Mus musculus: one gene and its partner. Each later gene encodes a partner of the first gene's protein in a complex. Links are inferred from orthologs where the notes say so. Each region holds a gene or a part of one and is shown in the gene's direction. Other genes may lie near its edges. The genes, in order: Atp2a1 and Sln.

Region 1 (3,809 bases):
GCATTAACCGTGCTCTGTGGGAATCACTGTCACCCGGTGCAGTGTCTGAGACAACTGATGCACTTCTTGCTGTGGACTCTGAATAACCCCCAAAGCTCACTGCCTGCATTTATAGGAGATTATGGCCTGCCAGGTAACAGGGTGTGCTCAGAGTGACTGGCCAACAAGGGCTCTGCTAGGAGACACAAGCCACTGTGTTAATATGTAGCTTTTCTTTTTCTATTTTTTCTTTGTTTTGGTTTTTGCTGTGGTTGTTTTTCAGATAGAGTTTTGTAATGTAGCCAGGGCTGGCCCTGATCGTGAATTCATGATGCAGCCAGGGCTGGCCCTCCCTGGTCAGGAATTCATGAATTCCTCTTGACCTCCTGGGTGCTGGAACCTCAGGTGTACCCACCACACCCAGATCCAGCTCTCCTTTTTTAAATCAGTCAGTCAGTCAGTCAGTCAGTCTGTTTTTTTTTTTTTTTTTTTTTTTTTGAGATAGGGTTTCTCTGTATAACAGCTCTGGCTGTCCAGAAACTCACTTTGTAGATCAGGCTGGCCTCGGATTCACAGAGATCTACCTGCCTATGCCTCCCAAGTGCTGGGATCAGAGGTGTGTGCCATCACTTTCTGACTCGGCAGGCTTTTTGCAGCAGGCCTTGGCACTGCCAGTCTATGCAGGGCAGGCATTATAAGGATTGCAGGAATTATGTTTTCTGGCCCTGTGCTTCCAAGGTCCTACTGATGTCCAACACCAGGTACCAAGGCAGCAGGCCCCAGCGTCACCAACAGTACTGCCCATCTTCCTCTGAACTTCCTCCTGTCTGTCCCAAATTCCTCCCTGACCAACATGTCACCATCTTTCCAGATGGACCTGACGTTTGTTGGTGTTGTGGGCATGTTGGATCCACCCCGCAAGGAGGTCACAGGCTCTATCCAGCTGTGTCGTGATGCTGGGATCCGAGTGATCATGATCACTGGGGACAACAAGGGTACAGCCATTGCCATCTGCCGACGAATTGGCATCTTTTCGGAGAATGAGGAAGTGACAGACCGTGCCTACACTGGCCGTGAGTTTGACGATCTGCCCCTGGCCGAGCAGCGGGAGGCCTGCAGACGCGCCTGCTGCTTTGCTCGTGTGGAGCCCTCACACAAGTCCAAGATTGTGGAGTACCTGCAGTCCTACGATGAGATCACAGCCATGGTGAGAAGTCGCAGAGGGCTGCCCGGGTCAAGGCTCTGAGTGTCCCCACGCATGCTGGGTGTGTGTGTGGGGGGAGACTCTGCATGGAGTCTGAGGAGGGGAAATAGAAGGCATCTGGAACCTGGAGTTTCTCACTCTCTCCTTCCGTCTTCAGACAGGGGATGGTGTCAATGATGCCCCTGCTCTGAAGAAGGCCGAGATTGGCATTGCCATGGGATCTGGTACTGCTGTGGCTAAGACGGCCTCTGAAATGGTACTGGCCGATGATAACTTCTCCACCATCGTGGCTGCCGTGGAGGAAGGCCGCGCCATCTACAACAACATGAAGCAGTTCATCCGCTACCTCATCTCCTCCAATGTGGGCGAGGTGGTCTGGTGAGCAGCCAGAAGAAAAAAAAACCAACAACCCAGGGCTGAGGGGGTTGATCATGGGACTTGAAACAAATGAATGCATGACTTTCTTCCTCTGCCAGTATCTTCTTGACAGCAGCCTTGGGGCTGCCTGAGGCTCTGATCCCTGTGCAGCTGCTCTGGGTGAACTTGGTGACTGATGGGCTCCCGGCTACTGCCCTGGGATTCAACCCACCTGACCTGGACATCATGGACCGCCCCCCCAGGAGTCCCAAGGAGCCTCTTATCAGTGGCTGGCTCTTTTTCCGCTACATGGCAATTGGGGGTAAGCAAGAAGGGACTCAACCACCTTTCCCAGCCTTTGGGACCAACCTCGTCCCTGATACCAGCTTTTCCCAATTCAAGCTGCCCAAAGCCAGCTGTCTCCAGCTGTGTGAGGTCTTCCTGATACTTAACTCATCAGCCCTGACCCCAGCTCCTCTCTTCTCCCCACCACAGGCTATGTGGGTGCAGCCACTGTAGGAGCAGCTGCCTGGTGGTTTTTGTATGCAGAGGACGGGCCTCATGTCAGCTACCATCAGCTGGTAGGAAGGAGGCTGGGGAGGTGGGCCCTGAGAGGGTGTGCCGAAGGCTTCTGTGGAGCTCAGGCTTCTGTCTCTTCCTTCATAGACTCATTTCATGCAGTGCACTGAGCACAACCCTGAATTCGATGGCCTGGACTGTGAGGTCTTTGAGGCCCCCGAGCCCATGACCATGGCCTTGTCTGTGTTGGTGACCATCGAGATGTGCAATGCTCTCAACAGGTAGGCCTTGTCCACTTGGGTGGGCCCTGTGCCTTCATGTTCTCCCCGCCTCTCTTCTCCCTCCACTCTGCCTTACCACATCTTTCTCTGTATCCCTGTCTCTCCATCTGCCTGGCCTTTTGTTCTAGCCTGTCTGAGAACCAGTCCCTACTGCGGATGCCACCCTGGGTGAACATCTGGCTGCTGGGTTCCATCTGCCTGTCCATGTCCCTCCACTTCCTCATCCTCTATGTCGACCCCCTGCCGGTGAGCTGTCACCTCTCTGCCCCGGGGGAGCCCATGCAGAGCATGTGTCCACAGGGTGCTCACAGGGCGTGGTATTTTATGCCACCCTGGCCCCCTTTCCTTCTGAGGAAGCACTTGTCATTCCTGATGCCTGCTGTCCTCTTCCCAGATGATCTTCAAGCTCCGGGCCCTGGACTTTACCCAGTGGCTCATGGTCCTCAAGATCTCACTGCCAGTCATCGGGCTGGATGAGCTTCTCAAGTTCATTGCTCGGAACTATCTGGAGGGTAAGGGACATCCCTTTTTCCTTGTACCCAGTCCTGAGCAGAGCCCCTGCCCTCTGCGCTGCGAACACGCGCCATAAGTCATCTATCCCCCTCTTCCTTTGTAGGTAGGTAGGTAAGTTCTTTTTAGCCCTGGTGGGACCAGTGTCCCCCAGGGAGGGCAACCCAAGCCCTGTCCCCACTCCAGCTATGACTGGTGGGATTTTCTCCCAACCTGCTCAGCCCCCTGGCTCCGAGGGCCTCCTTCCCTCTTGATAACGGCCTCTCTCTGTCCTCTCTGGCCATAGGATAACCACCCCCCTCCTCCATGTCTTTGAACCGTGTCACAGGTATTTCCCTACCCGCCCTGCCCCAGCTGCTGTACCCTGCCGCTCGCCCACCACCAGCCCATGCGCACCCCTGCGGTCACTTGCGCGCGCTCGCAGCTCTCCCTGGAGCCACTGCTGCTGTTGCCACTGCCCGCTTCCACATGAGGGCCATGCCGTTACTGTGGGCACTGGCAGCTGTGAGGCTGTGTCCTGGCCGTCCAGTCTGCTGGGCTGGGATGCGCTGCGCTGCGTCGCGCTGGCTGTCTCTGCTGCTGGGGCTGCGGTGGTGGCTGGGGGGCGGGTTGGGGTCTGGCACATCACAGGTGAGTAGGGAAAGGGGCCCTTAGGCCCCTCCAGGTGAGTGTGCAGGAGATGCGCAAGGAGATACAGCTCTCCCTCCTGTGCCCGCCTGCTCCATCCCCTGCCTTTCTTCTTCCAGATCCAGAAGACGAAAGAAGGAAGTAACCAGCCCTTGTGCCCTGTGTTCCCCACCCCAATAGCCATGCATCTTCAGCCAAAGCTGAGGCACTGACCCTTCTTCCCCCTCAATTCTGTTTATAAATAAAGTCCTCCACCCTCGTCCCCTTCAGCAACCCGCTCTCCCTCCGAACCTTGTAAATCCCCTTCCCGAACTCACGGGGCTTGCAGGCAC
Region 2 (4,483 bases), on another chromosome or scaffold:
ATGGACAAATAATAATTTTGAACAGCTAGAAAAAGGACAGCTGTGGCTTGGTGACTAGGAAAACATTCCCAAGCATTTGAAGCAAGCTGGCAAAAGCTTGGAGGGAGGCAGAAGACAGAAATCTGACTACGGTTACAGGGTTTGCCAGATGGCAACAGATAACAGCCAACGTTCGATTGTGCTATAATTAATATTCTCTATCTGTCACTTCAGCAAGCTATCGTTTTACAAGACAAGTGGTGACAGAATGTTGTAATTAGACCACCCTTCGAAGGGCTCATGTTGAAATAAAGAGATGGAATGGAAAATCCTCCTTTTGTTGGCGCCTCTGGGGCGGTAGGGATGGCGAGAAAGGCTTGACCGTGGATACAAGCATGCAGAGAGTTGTGTTTGCCCCTGCCTCTGGGCATGACCTATTTTTATGGACCCTAAGTGGGGACTGTCAGGGGAGATTTAATCTACTGTTCTTAAAGACAAGATTTACTGAGCAGTACAGTTACTGGGGTCATATTTAGATTCCTTGGTTGATGGCTTTCAAATCCACTTAAACATGGTAGAGACTTCACTTACTTCCTCAAATCTGATTTGTTACAAACTCGTCCTTGTCTGATTTGAGCCAGTGTTTGTTGTTGAAAATGGTGCCATTTCATTCCTTTAAGATATATTCTACGGGCTGGTGAGATGACTCAGTTGTTAAGAGCACTAGGTGTTCCATCATTGGTCTAGGGTTCGAATCCTAGTACCCACACAGTGGCTTACAATTGTCTGGGACTGGACAATGCACGCCTCCAACCTCCCAGGCTTCTGTACACACATGTGATGCACACAGTTATACACTTTCATGCAGGCAAAATATTCATATTCATAAAATACAACACAAAGGAAATAAAAATGATATATCCTAGATATTTCTATCTAGTCTAGAACTCACATTCCTACTCGTTTCGACCAGGTTAACTTCTAAGCCCCATTTAGCCAAATGACTGGGTTTTTGCAGTCTGTTTTACTGCTATGCTAGTTTAACTGACAAGGATACAAGCTCTGGCTCCCATGGCTGTTTCAGGAGAAATCAGCTGAACGCGTGAACTTGCTGGGCATTGCTTTGATGTGAAGCAGGAGATGGGGTTGGGAAGGGGATAACTTCTATGGCTAGGACAAAAGTCAGTTTTGAGGGAGACTTAAGGGGTTCTGGAGCTCGGTGTGGGAATGTGGGAACAAGGCAGAGAATTCTCCACATTGCAAACAGCTAGTGATAGGGGTGATGACGTGAAATCACATTTTCATAGCTTCACATGTCGAGTAGTGAAGATAGCTATTTGTTAAAACTGGTCTATTACTCTTGCTTTATGATGTTCTGAACATATGATTGAGACATTTATAAAGAGGTAAAAGATGGATTTAAAATCCCACACCACTACATCAAAAGTAGGCCGGAAACAAGAGCTTTCATATCCCTGTGTTGTTCATTTAAATTGGCAGCCAAAGGAGCAGAGCCCTTGCTACCATATTTCTATGCCCCCCCCCCCCAGTACAAATTGGCTGGAAACCTTTGGAGCTTGTCCCTTTGAGATGTCTCACCAGTGACATCACAGTGATTGTCACTTCCCTCAGACTACATTAGGCCCTGCCCAGAGTCCAGGAGCTCAGACAGCCGGGGAGACAGCTGGAGGTGGAGAGACTGAGGTCCTTGGTAGCCTGAGTGTGCCCCTGCTCCTCTTCAGGTAACAGCAAGACTTCGTACTTAGCAATCTATTCCTGTCTCTGTCTCTCTCTGTGTGCAGTTTTCAAATTAAAATGTTAACTAATGCTTATATTTCTCAGTGGAACAGGTAATCACAATATAGGGCATTTCCTAAGCTGCAAACTGAATATTGATTCCTGTTTTTCTTTGATATGTATTTTCTATTTTTCTAGTTTTATATAATTTTTCCACATCTGAGAAGAAAACCAATGTCAAATTTCTTGCACAGTTTGTTGCTGGTTTGTAAGGCTTTGGTTCATGCACAGGACAACCATTTTGGCTCATAGAGAAGGCAAAAGAGGAAGCCACAGCTCGTGTGTGGGCTCATAGCAGAGACATAGAACATGGGTGATTGAATAGCCACTTAACTCTGCTCATTCTTCCCAAAGGGTGTGGATGTGTGTGAAAGTAAGATCCCAGACTGAATTGCCATATACCTTGACAGAACTGCACCCACAGGGAACTCATCAAATTGGAGCTCTATTCATTTAAAAATATACAAAACAACAAATAATTAAGGTTTTCATCAAAAGTACAAGAAAGAGCAAAGGTTAAGCCAGAGGAAAGAGACGTTTGGTGCTCAGCCTGTAGCCAGAGAGGCTGGAAAAATGGAAGAGTGCAAAAGATGCAGGCAGCTGAAACATGAATTTTAAGAAACACCAGATAACTATCATTTACCAAGAAACAGATCGTTGGCGGTACCCCAGAAGTCCATTCCAAATCATTTCCCTCCTGCCTTCTGCCCCCAAGTGTGGAGCTTGACTGTCCTTCCTTGTTTTGAACATTTACCACCCTTAGTTGTGTTCCTGGTGCTTGCCTCTGTGTAAATGGAGTCACATTCTCAGCTCCTCCTGCAAATCCTCCTTTCATCCCACAGGTATGGTGTGAGATCCTTTCATCTTGCTCTGTAGCTAGAGGTCATATATTTTCTTCACTCCACGGCATTCAAATGAATGTGAATGCCACAATTGCACCCATTCTACTGTTGGTGGCCAGAGCTTTCCAATATGTGGTCTTGAGGGTCCATATTCAGGATGCCTTTGCTGTAAGCATTTCATTTAACAAGCCTTCCTCCTCTCTCTGAACACTCATGAACATTCTGTTCTCTTCTGCTACCCACTAATTTTCTTCTGCTTATTCTCTCTCTCAGACAGCTGGTTTTTTGTAAAGGTTTTCACTGGCAATTGACAATGTACATCATGCTAAGGGCTGAAAGAGAGATAATTAAAAGGGAAGGGGTTAGCAAGATTGCACTTGCTGCCAAGCTTGATAACCCGAGTTCTATCTCTGGGTGCCTTGGGAGGAAAGAGAGAACTAACTCCTGAAACTTGTTCTCTGATCCCTGAATGTGCACTGTGACACACGTGTGTCTCCTGCACCAGCTGCATACATAAATGAATGTAATAAAAATTAAGAATAAAAAGGGAAGGAACCATAATTCCATCATCATTGGCTATATTTTAAAATGAGATTCTATAATGTGTTCATTAGCACAATCTGGTAAGAACCTGTATATTATACTAACAATTACACAATAAAAGCTGATTATTCCACTGGTATCTATGCAATTAATAATTTGGTCCATTGATGACCAAACAAATACAACAGGTACAGTTAATTCAGTCAGGCCAAAAGTTGCTACAAAGTTTTGATCCTTTGAACTTTGACCTTTTGCAAACCAGTATTCTTTCCAACAAAATTTTCTTCCATGCTACAATCTTGTTCTACAATAATAGTATCCACTTAAATCATTTAAAACATAGAAGATTTAAATTTTAATTTGATTGTATAAACCAAGCGTCAACTTTACCAAAATTAGTAACCTGATTGACAGCATTGCCTGCACTCTTGGAGGATACTTTCCTGCATGTACAATCCGTATGCACAGTGAAGATGCCCTCTCTGCTGTCTGAAATGTTTACAATCTAGGCACATCCTGAGCTTGACTAAAAATAGCTGGCACAAGCCCTTGTTGAGACAGAAATGCTCATGAGGTTAACACTTGTTCTTTGGACTGAGTACCTGTTGTGCGAGGGACTTCTGGTTGACCTCTGCGGGCTTTGTGCCAGTGGAGGCTTGTACGAAGCCATGCAGCTGTTGGAGCTGCTTTATGCTTTCAGCAGGGTTGGATGAAGACCTAAGGCAGCTTTAAATCTGAAAGATGATGTTATCCTACTCCTAAATGTGATCCAAAGAGAGAGCAATACTTAAACTATAAAGTTTGTTTCTGTTTTGGTGTCCCTGATTGCAGATATTCCAAATAGCATAGTTAACAAGTATACCTAAAAGTGCAGAAGATGAAGAGAGAAAAATGCAATATTTTATTTCTTACGCAAAACAATGCAATTAATACAGGATAAAAATATTGGCCTTGGGATGATAGCAGGAAGAGAGAGCTGTTTCTCTGAAGAGTATGGGCAAACACAAGCAGCCTAGTTTCTCTTATAAAACAAAACACTTCATGGAAGCTGGCTTACAGTCCCAGAGGTTTAGCTCATTATCCCCATGACAGGAAACATGGGAGCATGCAGGTAGAAAGGTGCTGGAGAGGGAGCTGAAAGTTCTACATCTCGACCCACAGGCAGCAAGGAGAGACAGTATCATACTGGGTATAGTTTGAGCATAGGAGACCTTAAATCCCAACCCCACAGTGACACATTTCTTCTATTAAGACCAAACCTTTTGTAACAAGACCATACTTTCTAATAGTGTCATTCCCTATGGGTCAAGCATTCAAACACA

The links.
Region 2: the proteins of Atp2a1 (region 1) and Sln are in contact, whole or in part, in a crystal structure (PDB 3W5A), measured with the Oryctolagus cuniculus proteins. The link is inferred for Mus musculus from reciprocal best matches to the Homo sapiens genes ATP2A1 and SLN. Residues at the interface, in XP_069919846.1 of Oryctolagus cuniculus: Phe88, Val89, Leu96, Ala100, Ile103, Val104, Trp107, Arg110, Asn111, Asn114, Arg324, Lys328, Trp794, Leu797, Gly801, Leu802, Thr805, Ala806, Phe809, Trp932, Ser936, Leu939, Leu943, Leu946, Ile947, Val950, Pro952, Leu953, Ile956; in NP_001075856.1 of Oryctolagus cuniculus: Met1, Glu2, Arg3, Ser4, Thr5, Arg6, Glu7, Leu8, Leu10, Asn11, Phe12, Val14, Val15, Thr18, Val19, Leu21, Ile22, Trp23, Leu25, Val26, Tyr29.

The regions. Positions count from the first base shown.
Region 1 is NC_000073.6:126,445,914-126,449,722, reverse strand, and holds part of Atp2a1 (sarcoplasmic/endoplasmic reticulum calcium ATPase 1), read left to right. Parts: intron 1-850; coding exon 851-1,186; intron 1,187-1,340; coding exon 1,341-1,561; intron 1,562-1,659; coding exon 1,660-1,862; intron 1,863-2,035; coding exon 2,036-2,121; intron 2,122-2,206; coding exon 2,207-2,340; intron 2,341-2,468; coding exon 2,469-2,586; intron 2,587-2,734; coding exon 2,735-2,852; intron 2,853-3,136; coding exon 3,137-3,141; 3' UTR 3,142-3,178; intron 3,179-3,596; coding exon of another isoform or gene 3,597-3,622; 3' UTR 3,623-3,809. UniProt on the Homo sapiens protein: Key regulator of striated muscle performance by acting as the major Ca(2+) ATPase responsible for the reuptake of cytosolic Ca(2+) into the sarcoplasmic reticulum.
Region 2 is NC_000075.6:53,848,606-53,853,088, forward strand, and holds the start of Sln (sarcolipin), read left to right. Parts: upstream 1-1,645; 5' UTR 1,646-1,721; intron 1,722-4,483. UniProt on the Homo sapiens protein: Reversibly inhibits the activity of ATP2A1/SERCA1 and ATP2A2/SERCA2 in sarcoplasmic reticulum by decreasing the apparent affinity of the ATPase for Ca(2+). Also inhibits the activity of ATP2A3/SERCA3.